Sus scrofa: one gene and its partner. The protein of the gene in region 1 purifies or fractionates together with the protein of each later gene. This does not show direct contact. Links are inferred from orthologs where the notes say so. Each region holds a gene or a part of one and is shown on either strand. Other genes may lie near its edges.

Region 1 (6,889 bases):
CCACTGATTGAGGCTAGGGATCAAACCTGCAACTTCATGGTTCCTAGTCAGAGTCGTTTCCGCTGCACCACGATGGGAACTCCTAGATCTATTCCTAATACTGTGAGTAAGCTGAACTCCAAAAGGATCCAAGATTTAAATAAAATATGAAACTTTATATGTACTGGAAGAATGCATGGGTGAATTCCTCCTTACAGTCTGGGTGTAGAAGACGACTTTCTAGGACTCAATCCATATTCAATAAAAGAAAATATTGATAAACTTGACTATCAAAAAAAAATAAATTTGCACATAAGCAAAGTCAAAAGACAAATTAGGAAGTGCCCATGGCATGTGGAATTTTCTGGGCCAGGGATCGAACCCAAGCCACAGTAGTGACAACGCTGGGTCCTTAACCCACTGAGCCACAGAGCATCTCCCCTCAATACCTTGTTGAAGTTCATTAAAATATGCCTGTCCCTATATCAGCAGTGGCAGAATCATCTCATATTAATCAGCAGAGGTGAGCAAAAAGGTATTGCTCTTGTCCGGCTCCGGTATAGAGGGCTAAGTTGTTGGAGTTGGTGGCTAACTTCCCGGGTCATGTACAAAAGCTGACTGAGCTCCCCCAGAGTGTACACTAAGGGCAGCCCTGTGCTTTAGAGCCAGACCACTGCACACCACAGCAGTTACCCGGGAACACATGTGCGGAGTGTGCAGAAATACACTGCCCCCTGCTGCCGCTGTCATCTGCAGGCAAGGAAAGGAAGTAAATTCCCATTTTGAAAACTCTCTTGGGCAGTAGGAATTACTAAAACAGGGGCTTCAGTAAGGGGGTCGTAGCGGGGGTGGGGTGGGGGGGGAGATGGAGAGTTGACTTGAGTTGCTGTCTGGCGCTGCAGTTGGTGGGCGGGGTCTAGAGGCCTCTGTTTTCGGCCTTTTAAAGGTGCGGGTCAGAATGGGGGCTAGAGCTAGCTGACCATAAAAGGCAAGCTGGAAGTGGTAACAGGCTGCGACAACAGAAAGAAAAAGAGAACGTTTGATTACGGAGGTAATTTAAAGATACTGTACTATTTCAGAGCATGTGTTTATTTTTGGAATATAGAGTTCTATGGTGTTGGGGAAACTTTGTGACTATTGGGAACTCTTTCATCAACAAAACAAGTGTATAAGGAGGAATTATGCCTTTATTCCCTTAGGGTTTTCTTTTTTTTTTTTAATTGAAGTATAGTTGATTTACCATGTTCTGTTAAGTTTCAGGTGTACAGCTAAGTGTCTCAGATATAGATAGACAGATATGTGTGTATGCTTTTTCAGATTCTTGTCCATTACAGGGAGAAATTATACTTTTGATGACGATTTGGACAGATTTCCATCACTGTGTGAGAAATGAAATACACTTATACGGAAAAGATTTGTTTCTAAGGGATCAAATAGTAGGGAAATCTTATTGCTACAGGATTTGGGGAGATTTAAGATACAGCATGTGAGAAATTTTAATACCTTCAAAAACCCATTTTTACTTATACAATTTTCTGCTCATGAATTAGTGATAATCCAAGTGTTAGGAGCACTTTTTGCTGTAGAAATTATCTAAGTCATGGATAGATTCCCTGGAAAGCCCTCAAAAATCTACTTAGTTCCTAATGCCACTAAATACGGGTTTCTTTTGGAAAATACATTGAGTCCGTAACTCCCAACAACAATCACAGATTTTAAATCTCTTCCCATGCTGTTTACCAAACGAGTTGTTTTTCTCTTTCTGCCAAGGTCATAAGGGCAGTAGGCATTCCAAGGACCTTTATTATTGGGAGGGGCCGCCTGGTGACCCTGGCCAGAGGCTGAGGCACTAACCCCTACCAACCCTTCCCTTCCTTGATCATTGCCTTTGTAGTGGCTCTGCCTCCTGAGGTTTCTGGGGGTTGGGGACCAGCGAGCTGCTAATTCCTAGGTTCCTAACATGCAGAGCTTTTAAGAATGGCTTGCTTTATTTCCTTCTCTTCCAGTGTGTACATTTGGGGACCTTTATACCTTGGGTATTCAGGTAGCAAAATGTGGGTTGTATGACCTGTTTCTTCCTTTGCCTATCAGGTAGTGATAAGGATTACTGAGAAGTGGGTAAATACATTAAGATCCTTAAAGAGGAAGTTTTCTTCATGGCTCAGCAGTTAACGATTCCAACTAGGATCCATGAGGATGCAAGTTCGATCCCTGGCCATGCTCAGTGGGTTAAGGATCTGGCGTTGCCATGAGCTGTGGTGTAGGTTGCAGATGCAGCTCACATCCCGTGTGGCTGTGGCTGTGGCTGTGGCCGGCAGCTGTAGCTCTGATTCAACCCCTAGCCTGGGAACCTTCATATGCCATGGCTGTGGCCCTAAAAAAAAAAAAAAAAACCCTAAAAGAGAACATGTTCATAAGGTATGAATGCTAGGACATAACATAAAATCTGCCCCACAAAACATCGTATTTTGTCTGATCATCTCTCTTCATTGGCATTTGGATTTTATCCTGCTTGCTGCATTTACCCTCTCAGCTTTATTTACTACACTTCCTTTGGTTTAAAGCGAGTTAATGTGTCCGTTTGAAACACTGGTGGAGAATAATTCTTATCATTCAATAAATATTATTAACTCTTAAAGGTAGAATCTTATTAGCCAAGAATATGAACTGGAATTGTCAATGGTGATGTCTGCTCTTAGCTGTGCTTTGGTTTTCAGTGAATGAAAAAATTAAGAATCGGGTAATCTTCACGCTTTTAACCTAAAAGAATAAATGTCACAGACTCGCCCTGGGCAGTTTGTGCACACTGCAGGTCGCGCATCCACCAGCTGTGATCCCAAGGAGACTAGTTTTTGCTGCATTTGTTCCCGAGTGAAAAAAATGACTTTTCATTCGAATGGTGCTTTTGAGTTGGCAGCAGACCAGAGTTCACGTAACTTGTTGTTACTTCCAGATTCTGTCTCAGCTTGACTGTGATGTTGTTAGAGATGTTCATCATGCTCATCTTTGTCCCTCTTGTTTCTCTTTCCCTTTTTTCCCAGTTCTTCCTCCAGTCCTGGTTCCGAGACACAGCGAATATAACCCTCAGCACAGCCTCTTAGCTCAGTTCCGTAACTTAGGACAAAATGAGCCTCACATGCCACTCAATGCCACTTTCCCGGATTCTTTCCAGCAACCCAACAGCCATCCGTTTCCTCATTCTCCCAACAGCAGCTACCCAAACTCTCCTGGAAGCAGCAGTAGCACCTACCCTCACTCTCCGACCAGCTCAGACCCAGGAAGCCCCTTTCAGATGCCAGGTAGGTGGGAATGTTCGGTGACATTCTGGGGTCAGCACAGCGTCGAGGAGAAGCAGGGGTGCCTGGAATGGAGAGGGCTTGCCAGCCTTGGTACGTGGCCCTGGGCTCTGAAACTCAGGATACGACTTTGAATGAAAGGGGGCCAACTAAGCCAGTGTTTCATTTGTCCGGCACAGATGCTTGAATATATTTTCATTTTTAATTTTGAAAGGTTTTGAAACAGCTGCATCCTTCTGGGAGTGGCATAGTTGTTACAGCTTTTGCTCTTGATGAAAGAGAGAGAGGAAAAAAATAGTGCCCTGCACACATTTGCTGTTTTCATGGGAGGGAAAAACCCTTTCATGAGTGCATCCTCAAAAAAGCTATTTCCTGGGGGATCCCACCCCCCTACTTAATTAAATTCATTTCAGTGGTGAAGTAATCCTGAGAAACTTTAACCTATGCTTTAACAACAAAGGATTTGCAGCAGAGGTACTGGAAACCATCTGCTTGTTTAATTTAGCAAAGGCAAGAAAATCATCATCCTTCTTTTTTAGACTTCTCTGGTGGTGTAATGTTTGTCAAATTAAGTGATTAATTAGGACACTATATTTTTCAAGTTAGAGGTTAATAAGTAAGCACCTCAGAACAAAAAACGATTAGTGCCAAGTTTCTTGCCAGTAGACCTCACAATGGATAATCTAAACAAAGACATACTTGACATCTGTTAACATTTCAAGAAGGGAAAACGAGGAGCTCCCTGGTGGCCTCTTGATTAAGGATCTGGCGTTAGGGATCACTGCTGTGGTACGGGTTCGATCTCAGGCCCAAGAACTTCCAAATGCTGCAGGCACGGCCAGAAAAAGGGGGTAGGGGGGAAATGAGTGGGCAGGCATATTTATTGTGCCACTTAAAATGTTTTTAAGCAAACTGGAATTCAACAGCAAAGTTGGTGTGTCCTCAAAAATTGAAAAGTGGTCGTTCTCATTGCAGCTCAACAGAGTAAGAACCTGACATAGTGTCCATGAGGATGCTGGTTCGATCCCTGGCCTCACCCAGTGTGTTAAGGATCCATCTGCTGCCATGTAGGTCGCAGATGCAGCTTGGATCCAGTTTTGCCATGGCTGTGGTATAGGCCTCAGCTGTAGCCCTGATTCTGCTCCTAGCCTGGGAACTTCCACATTCCACAGGTGCGGCCCTAAAAAAGAAAAAGGAAAAAAAAAAGATTGAAAAGTCGTTCATACTTGTTATTCCTATCCCTTTTTTTGGGGGGGTGCTTTTCAGGGCCACACCTGCAGCACATGGAAGTGCCTAGGCTAGGGGTCAAATTGGAGCTGCAGCTGCTGGCCTACACCACAGCAACACTGGATCCTTAACCTACTGAGCGAGGCCAGGGATCAAACCCCTGTCCTCATGGATATTAGCTGGGTTTGTAACCCACTGAGCCACAACAGGGAATCCTCCTATCTTTTATGTATTTATTTACTGCTGTTTTACATTTTAAGCCTCTTTATTTTGCCTTGTTCTGTTTATTTTTTTCAACTGAAAACTGTTTAAGACGAGATGGGAGAGAGATTAGTTTAAAAACCAAACTAGTATCATTTGCTGGTTTCCTCTGCCCGACTCCCTTCCGCACCCGTTGGGTTTGATGAACAGGTTGGTGGCAGGGAGACGGTTTTGGAAGGTTTGGAGCAGTGGCAGACCCAGGGTGGGCTCAAGAGTGAAACAAATTGAAGATTATTGCCAGAATTTACACTTTGTTCCCCGGCTGTCGGGGATTAGGGCCCAGGCCAAGTAGCGGAAATAAGGAGAAAGCTGCAGGGGTGCCAGGAGGGCCTCGTGAGGACACCAGAGCCCCACCCACAGTGTCCAGCCCCTCCCAGTGATGCTGATGCTGTAGGCTGTTGATGAAATTTTCACCAGCTTGTTTGCAGAAACGTGTTGAACTTGGTCTCAAGGGAGGCTCTTTGTCTCCCTGCCTGGCTGGAAGGAAAGCAGAGGCAGGGTTGCAGCTGCAGGGAAGCACGCTGGTTAAAAAGCTGGAGAAAGGGTAGAAAAGGTATCCTGATGGGGTCCCCATGGTCTGCCTTTGTGCCCTGAGGCCTGGCTTGTTAGCACCTGGACCATGGAACTGGGACTCTGTGAGAGTCAGTCTGGGAAATGGCTGAGAAACTGAAAAGAGCAGCATTAGCTTTTAGTATGCGATGGTTGGCCTGAGAGCCAAGCTCTTGGTGCTTCCTTGGCCTGATACTTTGTTTCTGGCTGTCATCTGTGCTGGGGTCCTAAGTGGGCTCACTGTAGCCCGTGGGGAACTCGTTTTTCCATCACACAGGCTTGTTTGTGGGAAAGCCACACCCTTGATTTTATTTAAGAAAGCACAAGACTTGTGCCCATGTTCTGTTTCAAAAATCTCAGTGTTGGAGTTCCTGCTGTGGTTCTGCGGTTAAAGAACCCGACTAAGATCCATGAAGACTCAGGTTCAATTCCCTGGCCTTGCTCAGTGGGTTAAGGATCTGATGTTGCTTTGGCTGTGGTGTAGACCAGCAGCTGCAGCTCTGATTCCACCCACTAGCCCAGCAACTTCCATCTGCTGTGAGCGCAGCCATTAAGAAAAAGAAAGAGAGAGAGAGGAAAGAAAGAAGGAAAGGAAGGAAGGAAGGAAGGAAGGAAGGAAGGAAGGAAGAAGGAAGGAAGACGGAAGGAAGGAAGAAAGGAGGAGTTCCCATCGTGGTGCATCGGAAACAAATCTGACTAGGAACCATGAGGTTGTGGGTTTGATCCGTGACCTCACTCGTGGGTTAAGGATCTGTCGTTGCTGTGAGCTGTGGTGTAGGTCAAAGACGTGGCTTGGATCTGGTGATGCTGTGGCTGTGGCATAGCCGACAGCTGTGGCTCTGATTAGACGCCTAGCCTGGGAACCTCCACATGCCACGGGTGTGGCCCTAAAAAGACCAAAAAAAAAAAAAAGAAAGAAAGAAAAAGAAAGAAAGAAATGAGAAAGGAAGAAAGAAGGGAAAGAAAGAAGCACATTGTTGGCCTCTTATTTGTTAGCTGGCTATGAGCTTTCCAAAAGAAACATGTACGCAAATTCTGAAATAGAAGATAGTTGTGATCTTCTATTTCCTATTATTCCGCTACTGGGAACTTGAAACCAGTGAGAATCTAAGCGGGTAGGGAGAAGGTTAGTGCTAGCAGGCTTCTTGAAGCCATGGGGATTAACAGTTTGAGTGAGTCAATTGGCAGTAGTGAAATTCAGTTGGTAAATTCCTAAGAGCCCCTAGATTTAACGCAGGAGACCCTGAAACTCCTTTTCTTAAGAAATCCTGTGTAGCTTTCAGAGATTTTTCCATCCATCAGGGAAACAACGAAATGCAGAGGTCCTTTCAAAGTGGGTTGTGTGAAAGTGTCAGTGCTCTCCTGATCATTATAAAATGGCACGGCCCTGGGGAGGCAGAGAGCTTCTGGAACTGGCATCTAGTGTTTGCCTCCCATGGAATTTTCAGGGCGTTTGTGTAAGATGATGACATAGTAGTGATCCCCACAAAGGGTCCACCAAAGCCAGCATCTGAAGCATCCAATCTTCTGATGGGGAGGTTGAAATGGCAACTTAGTTGCTGAAGAATTTCAGCACG
Region 2 (7,585 bases), on another chromosome or scaffold:
AGGTGGGAGCCAGGGAGGGCAGGGCTGTTTCTCCGGGAAGCCGTCTGTTGGGGGTCTTGAGTAGGGCCCGCTGATCCGAGCTTCCCAGCCCATTTCTCCAGCTGGGTCTCTGAGCTGCCCCCAAGGCAAGGGGCACCCATCACTCTGGTCCTGGAGTGCTGCTGGCTCCAAAGCCAGCGCCCAGCCCTTGGCGGCCTCTGCAGGACCTGGATGACCTCACTCCCTTGCAGCTGGGTGGGCAACCCTTGGGCTCCTTTGCTGTAGGAGACGGAAGCCATGTGGGGCAGAGCCTGGTCTCTTTCCCCTCTGGTCCCAGCACCTGGCTTGTGCCTGCAGGGGACGAGCTCCACAGCATGTGCTTATCTTGCGAGCAAACCCAGACATGACCAGCTGCCCACACCCATCAGCGTGGCAAGTGCTGGAGAGGGAGGGCCTGGTGCCACGGGTTCCTGCCTCTGGCACCCAACCGGCTGTACCTGTGGCCTGGACCCCCAACCTGCCGGTGTGGCAGGAGACAGAGGGAGGGGTAGGACAGCTGCTGGGATGGATGGGAGGGAGGAGGGCGAGCAGGTGGGAGCCCCTCCAGCTGCGCTCACGGGGAAGACAGGGCCTGGCTGACTCTGTGCACGGCTGGCCCTTGCTGGAAGGGGTGGGCTCTGTTGCTCTGGAAACTCCAGCATCTTTGGGGGAAGAAGACCTCAGAGTCTACGGAGACAGAGAAGTCGTAGAGATGAGTTTGGGTGCTCCCTGCTTCTCAAGGCCCTTCACCCCTCACCTGTCCCCTGCTGCACCCACTGCACCCCAATTCAGCTTCAGTCTGGGTTCTGAAGCTCTGGGAGTGTCGGCCCGTGCCCAAGGCCCCTTCCCAGGGCCCAGCAAAGCCGGGGCTGGGGGCCGGTGGAGCACGGTGAGCCAACCACTGCCCATCTGGGGGGCTCAGACTCAGGGCCCTCCTGGGAGTGCCCATCGGGTCAAAAGAGCAGGAGGAATTGTGTGCTTGGCTGGAAACCCTCCCTCCAGCCCTCTGGTGCTCCAACCAGCTTCTTCCGATTACAGGTTGTCTGAGCAGTATGGGAGTCAGGTCCACGTGGAAGGAACCGAGCCAGGTGCAAAAGAAACATTTTTGGCCTGTACAGTGGCCAAGAAAACAGCCTCCGAAAGTAGAGAAGTCCTTTTTCTTGTTTTTTAAAACACCCCTTCCCCAGTTTTCTCGTGTTGGGGCACTGGAGTGAGCAGTGGAAAGGACAGTCCCCAGGACATAGGTGAGGGCGGGCAGGGAGCAGTCAGGTCCTCAAACGTGGGGCACTGCGCCCTGAATCTCAAGGGCCCCAGAGCCTGCCTGGGTCTGCAGGTGTACAGGTGTGGGGTCACCGGCCCATCCTAGCTGCCTATCCAGACACGTGGCCGTGCCCGAGAGGTGACTGAGGCCTGCGGAGATGCCCGGTCGGCTGCCCGGAGCAGACACTCCCCCAGAGCAGAGCTGGGTTGGGGCCAGCTCCAGCTTCCCCTGGGGAGTCAGGAACAGCAGGTGACAGGCTGAAGTGGGTGCGGCCTTCTCACCCACTGTGCCCCATGTGCCCCCCAGTGCCCAGGCCAGTTTGGGTGCTCTCATCCCGTGGAGGAAAAGGTGCCACTGCCGGGTTGGGCTGGAGTGTCCTTCTGCCCTCAGGTTGAGCACAGCCTAAACCTACCTCCTGACCCCGAGTGCCCTGCCCCCAGGCCTCTGCTGGATGCTGCCTCCTCTGGGGGCGCCCCCCCTCCAGCCTGTTCCACCCGGCGCCTTCTGGTTGGCCCCTTGCCCTAGTACAGCCAGTGTGTGGAAGGACGGCAGTGGGGTCTCGGCCTAGGTGCCCTGCAGATGTATAAATGGCTCTCTGGGCCTGGGCGCTGCGGGGTTAGGGCAGGGCCAGTCTGTACTGAGGACACGCGCTGCGCAGCGACCTGGGAGGACCACGCGGACACAGCCCCCAGAGGCAAGCCCTGTCCTGTGGCGCAGCAGTCCTGCACTGGAGCTGGCAGGAGGTGCGGCTGCTGGCTGTGTGGGGAGACCCGGGTGCGGGGTCACAGCGTGGCCCTTCCTGCCAGCAGTCATGCCTTGGCGGTCGGTCCCCAGGACAGGCTGCACGGGGTCTGTCTCCTGCGGGGGGGGTGTGTGTCTCCGGGGTGCTGCACTCCTAACCCACATCGTGTTGCTTGGTGTCCCTGTACTATGTGCGACTTGGATCATTTTGCCTGGTGTCCCCATCGTGTGCGTGGGGACCGCGGCGTTGATGGAGGACGCGCGGCCCGTCCTGTCCGCTCCTCAGCTGGTCTGCGGTTGTGGTGGGGGCCCCGTGTGGGTTTCTGGGCTCTGGTGGCGACGGGGCGGCGGGCCGGGGGCCTTCGCGGCCGCGCAGGAAGCGGCCTCCGCCGGATGAGGGGCCTGGGGCGCCGCCGTCGCCCCCGCGGAGCCGCCTTCCGGCGGGTGGGGCCGATCGGCGCCGAACAGCGCTGAACCCCTGGCGGCTGCGGCCGAGCGGAGCCGAGCGGAGCCGAGCAGACCCGAGTCCCCGGCGGGCTGGGCCGAGCGGAGCCGAGTCCCGGGCGGACGGGCCCGAGCGCGGCCGAGCGCGGCCGAGCGCCGGGCGTGGGCGGGGGGAGCGCGCGTTCCTGGAAGAGCCGGGTCGGGGGGCCGGCGCATTCCAGGCCGGCGCTCGGCTGAGGCGGACGCGCGGCCCCAGACGACGCGCGGGGCGGGGCGGCGGCGCGGCGCGGGGCGGGGCGCGGGGCGGGGCGGCGGCGTGAGCTCAGCGCCCGGCGCTCAGTCCGAGCTGGAGCGAGCCGCCGGGAGGATGTGCGCCGATCTCCGCGCCGCCGCCGCCGCCGCGGTCTGAGGCCGCCGCCACAGGCGCTCCGCCGCCCCGGAAGCCGCGCGCGCGCGCGCGCGGGCGGGCGGGCAGGCCGCGGAGCCGGGCGCGGGCGGCGGGGTGGGCGCGGGCCGGGCCGGGAGGCCGGCGGCGGGCGCGACGCGGCCGGCCAGCGCCGCCGGGACGAGCCGGGCGGGCGCCGCGCGGTGGGAGGAGCGGGGCGGCGGCGGCGGCGCGCCGCGCGAGGACGGCCCGGCGGGCCCCGCGCCCGCGCCCCCGCTCCTCCCGGGCCCCTCGGCCTCGGCCGCCGCGGCGATTCGCGCCTCGCGGCGCCGGCACCTGCCCGCGCGCCCCCCGCGAGCCCCGGGCCCGCGAGCGTTGGCGTTGGCGTTGGCGGCGCGCGCTGGGGCATGCCCCGCGCCTAGGGCCCGGGGGGCGCGCGGGGGGCGCGCGGGGGCCCGGGCGGCGGCGGGCGCGGCGCGGGGCGCGTGGATGTGGCGCCGGGCCCGGGCGGCGGCGGGCTGCAGCGGCGGGACCCCTTCGCCCCGCCCGCCTTCCCCTTCGCGCCCCCGGGCGAGGCCGAGGCCGCGGCCGTGATCGGCCGGGAGCCGGTGGCGGGGGGCGGCCGGGGCCGGGGCCGGGGGCGCCGCCGGGGCGCGCGGGGCGGCGGCGGCGGGGGCCGCGGGGGCCCGGGCGCGCGGGAGCGGGAGCGGCCTGGGGAGCCGGAGCGCACCATGGAGGCGGCGGCGGGCGGCCGGGGCGGCTTTCAGCCGCACCCGGGGCTGCAGAAGACGCTGGAGCAGTTCCACCTGAGCTCCATGAGCTCGCTGGGCGGCCCGGCCGCCTTCTCGGCGCGCTGGGCGCAGGAGGCCTACAAGAAGGAGAGCGCCAAGGAGGCGGGCGCGGCCGCGGTGCCGGCGCCGGTGCCCGCGGCCGCCGAGCCTCCGCCGGTGCTGCACCTGCCCGCCATCCAGCCGCCGCCGCCCGTGCTGCCCGGGCCCTTCTTCATGCCGTCCGACCGCTCCACGGAGCGCTGCGAGACCGTGCTGGAGGGCGAGACCATCTCGTGCTTCGTGGTGGGCGGCGAGAAGCGCCTGTGTCTGCCGCAGATCCTCAACTCGGTGCTGCGCGACTTCTCGCTGCAGCAGATCAACTCGGTGTGCGACGAGCTGCACATCTACTGCTCGCGCTGCACGGCCGACCAGCTGGAGATCCTCAAAGTCATGGGCATCCTGCCCTTCTCGGCGCCCTCGTGCGGGCTCATCACCAAGACGGACGCCGAGCGCCTGTGCAACGCGCTGCTCTACGGCGGCGCCTACCCGCCGCCCTGCAAGCAGGAGCTGGCCGCCAGCCTGGCGCTGGGCCTGGAGCGCAGCGAGCGCAGCGTGCGCGTGTACCACGAGTGCTTCGGCAAGTGCAAGGGACTGCTGGTCCCCGAGCTGTACAGCAGCCCGAGCGCCGCCTGCATCCAGTGCCTGGACTGCTCTCTCCTGTACCCACCGCATAAGTTCGTGGTGCACTCGCACAAGGCCCTGGAGAACCGGACCTGCCACTGGGGCTTCGACTCGGCCAACTGGCGGGCCTACATCCTGCTGAGCCAGGACTACACCGGCAAGGAGGAGCAGGCGCGCCTCGGCAGATGCCTGGACGACGTCAAGGAGAAGTTCGACTACGGCAACAAGTACAAGAGGCGGGCGCCCCGGGTGAGTGTCCTGCGAGCGGCGGCGGCGCGCCTGGGGGGGGGCGGCGGCGGTGGGGGGGGGGTGGTGGCTGTGGGCAGGGGCTGGGGCGCGCGGTGCGACCTGTGCTTCCTCCGCCTCCACACGTCTCGGTGTTTTGTTTTGTTTTGTTTTAAGGAGACTGGGGTGGGGGGGCAGGGGAGTGTCCTTGTCCCCCTAGAGGGCCAGGTAGCCCGGGAGGAAGAGCCTCCTGTCTGACTCCCAGCCTGAGCCAGGCTGGCCTGGTTGGGAGCCCTGGGGAGCCTGGGGCAGGCTTGGTGGGCGAAGCCTTGCTGAGGCCCACGGTCATTGCCCAGACAGCCGGGAGGGGCAGGCTGCAGACCTTGGACTCTCTGTCCCGAGTCCCCGGGAAAGTGGTTCTGGCTGGGCCCAAGCTGGAGCTCCAAGTCCAGTCCTTCCTCGGGCCCAAAGCAAGTGTCCAGCCCCCATGCGCGAGGGGGACTGCCCTGGCCCCCAAGCTCCCAGGCTCGCACACGGGGTGCCTGGCACTTCCCAGCAGGCAGAACTTGGCCAGGCGGGGCCTGTTTGTGCCTTGAAGTCTCGGGAGACAGACTCAAAGCCCAAGCCAGGTGTCCAGGCCCTGGTGGCAGGGGGCCGAGACTTGGCGACTCCAGCTCTCTGTGTCTGCCCTGGCCTGGCAGGCAGTGAATTGTGGAGTCCCCCGTGTGGGGGCGAGGGCTGCTTGGCACAGGGCTTGGGGACTGGTCAGCGGGCACCCAGGGCCCCGGGTGTCAGGGTAGCCGCCGGCCTGTGATTCGTTTTGGACATGTCCTTATCTCCTTGTTTCCTTCTCGCTGAAACGCCGAAGGGTGCAGCAGGGAGGCCGCTGGCCGAGGCGCTGTTGTTTGCCAGGCTGGGGGTCTGTGTGATCCGGCCTGGCTGCTCCCGGGCCACCAGGCGCCCCAGCCCTCCATCAGGGTCGACACCAACTTTTCATGGCGTCTTCCCCCCGCCCCAAGTATTTGCAACTTTTCTTTGAAATATGCAGGCTTATTAAATTGCACACACAGAATGCTGCACTGGCTCAGCTATTCTTGGGAGGCCTAATTAATTCAGCTATTGCATCAAACTTTTTTTTTTCCAAATCTGTGAATAGATGCTCCCCCCAGTTCTCTCTGGGCGCCTCTCCAGCGGAGTGTCAGAGTCTCAGGGAGCGGAGGAGGGGAGGGAATAAGGGCCTGCTGCCCGCGCTCAGAGGGGCCACCGCGTGTGCGTCCGTGTATCTGGTGGTGGTGCTGCCCTTGGCTAGGCCAGCGCCCAGGTGGCAGCTGTCTGCAGGCTGTGGAGTTGGCACGGGGTGGGGGAGCCGGTCTGGGTGGGCAGCTCGGTGGGGGAGGGTGCCCATGGGAACGGCTGCCGGCAGATCTCAGCAGGCTGGCCAGGCCCGTCGTGCAGGCTGCTGTTGGCTGTGGGTGGCGTGATGGGTGCTCCCCGGGGCCTGGGGTGCCCGCTCCCTCGACAGCCATCTTGCCGGCGCTGGTGGGTTCTGGCGGGCTGGTTAAGCCTGTGGTGGGCAAGGCTGTGGCGGGTTCCTCTGCTCCAGAGTGGACAGCAGAGGGTCCACGGGTGGTTGGGACTGCGGCAGGGTGTGTGCCCGTCTGGGTCCTGGTCTGGGTCCTGGGTGGTTGGGACTGTCTTGCTGGGGTCTGCTTTTTGTCATCGCTGAAGGCCCTTCCGGGCCCTGGTGTCCGCAGGCTCAGGGAAGGCCTGGCCCAAGCTGGTGGCCTGGAGGGGAGGCCGGAGCATGCTGGTGATTTCAACAGATGGTCAGCGCCCCGTCCTCCTCCGCTGCTCTCCGCAGTGCTGCTCGGAAACCTCGTTTCCTGCTTAGAAAAACGCCACGGGTGACGATGAAGACAGGGTCATCGGAAGGGGTTGGAGTCTCCGGGTCTCAGTGTCACCCCGCCCTTGGTGACCAGGGTCGCGGGCCTCCTCCAGGCCCCGGCTGCTGGCCGGCCGCTCCCTGGCTCCCCCCCCCCGCCCCCCGTCTTGGGACCCGCCGCCCTGGCCCTGTGGCTGAGCAGCCGGGAATTCTGGGGTGCCTGGTCCCTTTGGGGTGCGCCCGGCCGTGCCCTTGCCTGTCTACCCGCCAGCGACACCCGGGAGGAGGCGGGGGTCTCAGCCTCAGGGTTGTTCTGGAGGCAGCAGCCTAGACAGACCCTCCCTCCCAGTGCCTGCTCGGGCCCCGCTCCGCCCGCTCCTCGCGCCCGGGTCTTCATGGAGTCTGTTTTGACTTTTTTCCGCCTCTTTTCTGGCTTATTTAAATATGTTTGTCCCACTGAGAACGAGGCCCGAAGGGAACCAAGACTGTTCTGGGCCCTCTCTCAGCAGGGACACGGCTCGCCGGGCCTCGGGGTCCCGGTGTTGGGGGCCTCGGGGTGGCCCGGGTCTCCTGCCGGCCGGGACTCCTCTGCCATCAGCAGCGGCGTGAGCCCCGTGGCTCTGAGGCCCGACCGAGGCTTGCTCTGCGCTGCCTGCGGCCTGACCACGGCGGGGTGGCTGTCCCTGTGGTCGCCCCAGCGAGGGCCGGGGGCAGGGATGGGTCTCCAGCCTCGAGCCCGGAACCCCTGCGTGCAGGCGGGGCCGTCCTCAGCGACACTCTGCGCCTTGCCCTCAGCCTCGCGGGCTCCCTGACCTCGAGGCACTGGCTTGATCTCTTTGTGCCTCGGTGTTCTCACGTGGGAAAGGGGGGCTGTGGTAGGTGGCGGCCGCTGCCGACGGTTTTGGGGTGTTCCGGTGGCGAGTGCCGCCAGGCGGGGCGGGGATGCGGGGTGAGGGGCCGGGGCCTTTCCCGCACCGTCTCCCCTTCTCTTCTGTCCACGAGCTCTTTGCACGGCTGAGGCCCTTTGCACTTGACCGTGGGGAGTGCTGTCGGTTTGGGGGGCGTTGGTGCCGCCAGCTCCCTCCGTCCTGCTGGCTGCTGACCGCGGCCTCTGGGGGCACAGAGGTCCCAGTTCTCAGAGCGGAGACCGTGTGGCCGCGCGTTGTCCCCCGTCCTTC

The links. Proteins that work in one complex are often made in the same cells at the same time.
Region 2: the proteins of SMAD1 (region 1) and SKI purify together in Homo sapiens (affinity purification with western blotting, with the first as the bait; 3 studies listed by BioGRID). This does not show direct contact. The link is inferred for Sus scrofa from reciprocal best matches to the Homo sapiens genes SMAD1 and SKI.

The regions. Positions count from the first base shown.
Region 1 is NC_010450.4:82,923,295-82,930,183, reverse strand, and holds part of SMAD1 (mothers against decapentaplegic homolog 1), read left to right. Parts: intron 1-3,020; coding exon 3,021-3,278; intron 3,279-6,889. UniProt on the Homo sapiens protein: Transcriptional modulator that plays a role in various cellular processes, including embryonic development, cell differentiation, and tissue homeostasis.
Region 2 is NC_010448.4:64,184,733-64,192,317, forward strand, and holds the start of SKI (ski oncogene), read left to right. Parts: upstream 1-3,532; 5' UTR 3,533-3,580; coding exon 3,581-4,549; intron 4,550-7,585. UniProt on the Homo sapiens protein: May play a role in terminal differentiation of skeletal muscle cells but not in the determination of cells to the myogenic lineage. Functions as a repressor of TGF-beta signaling.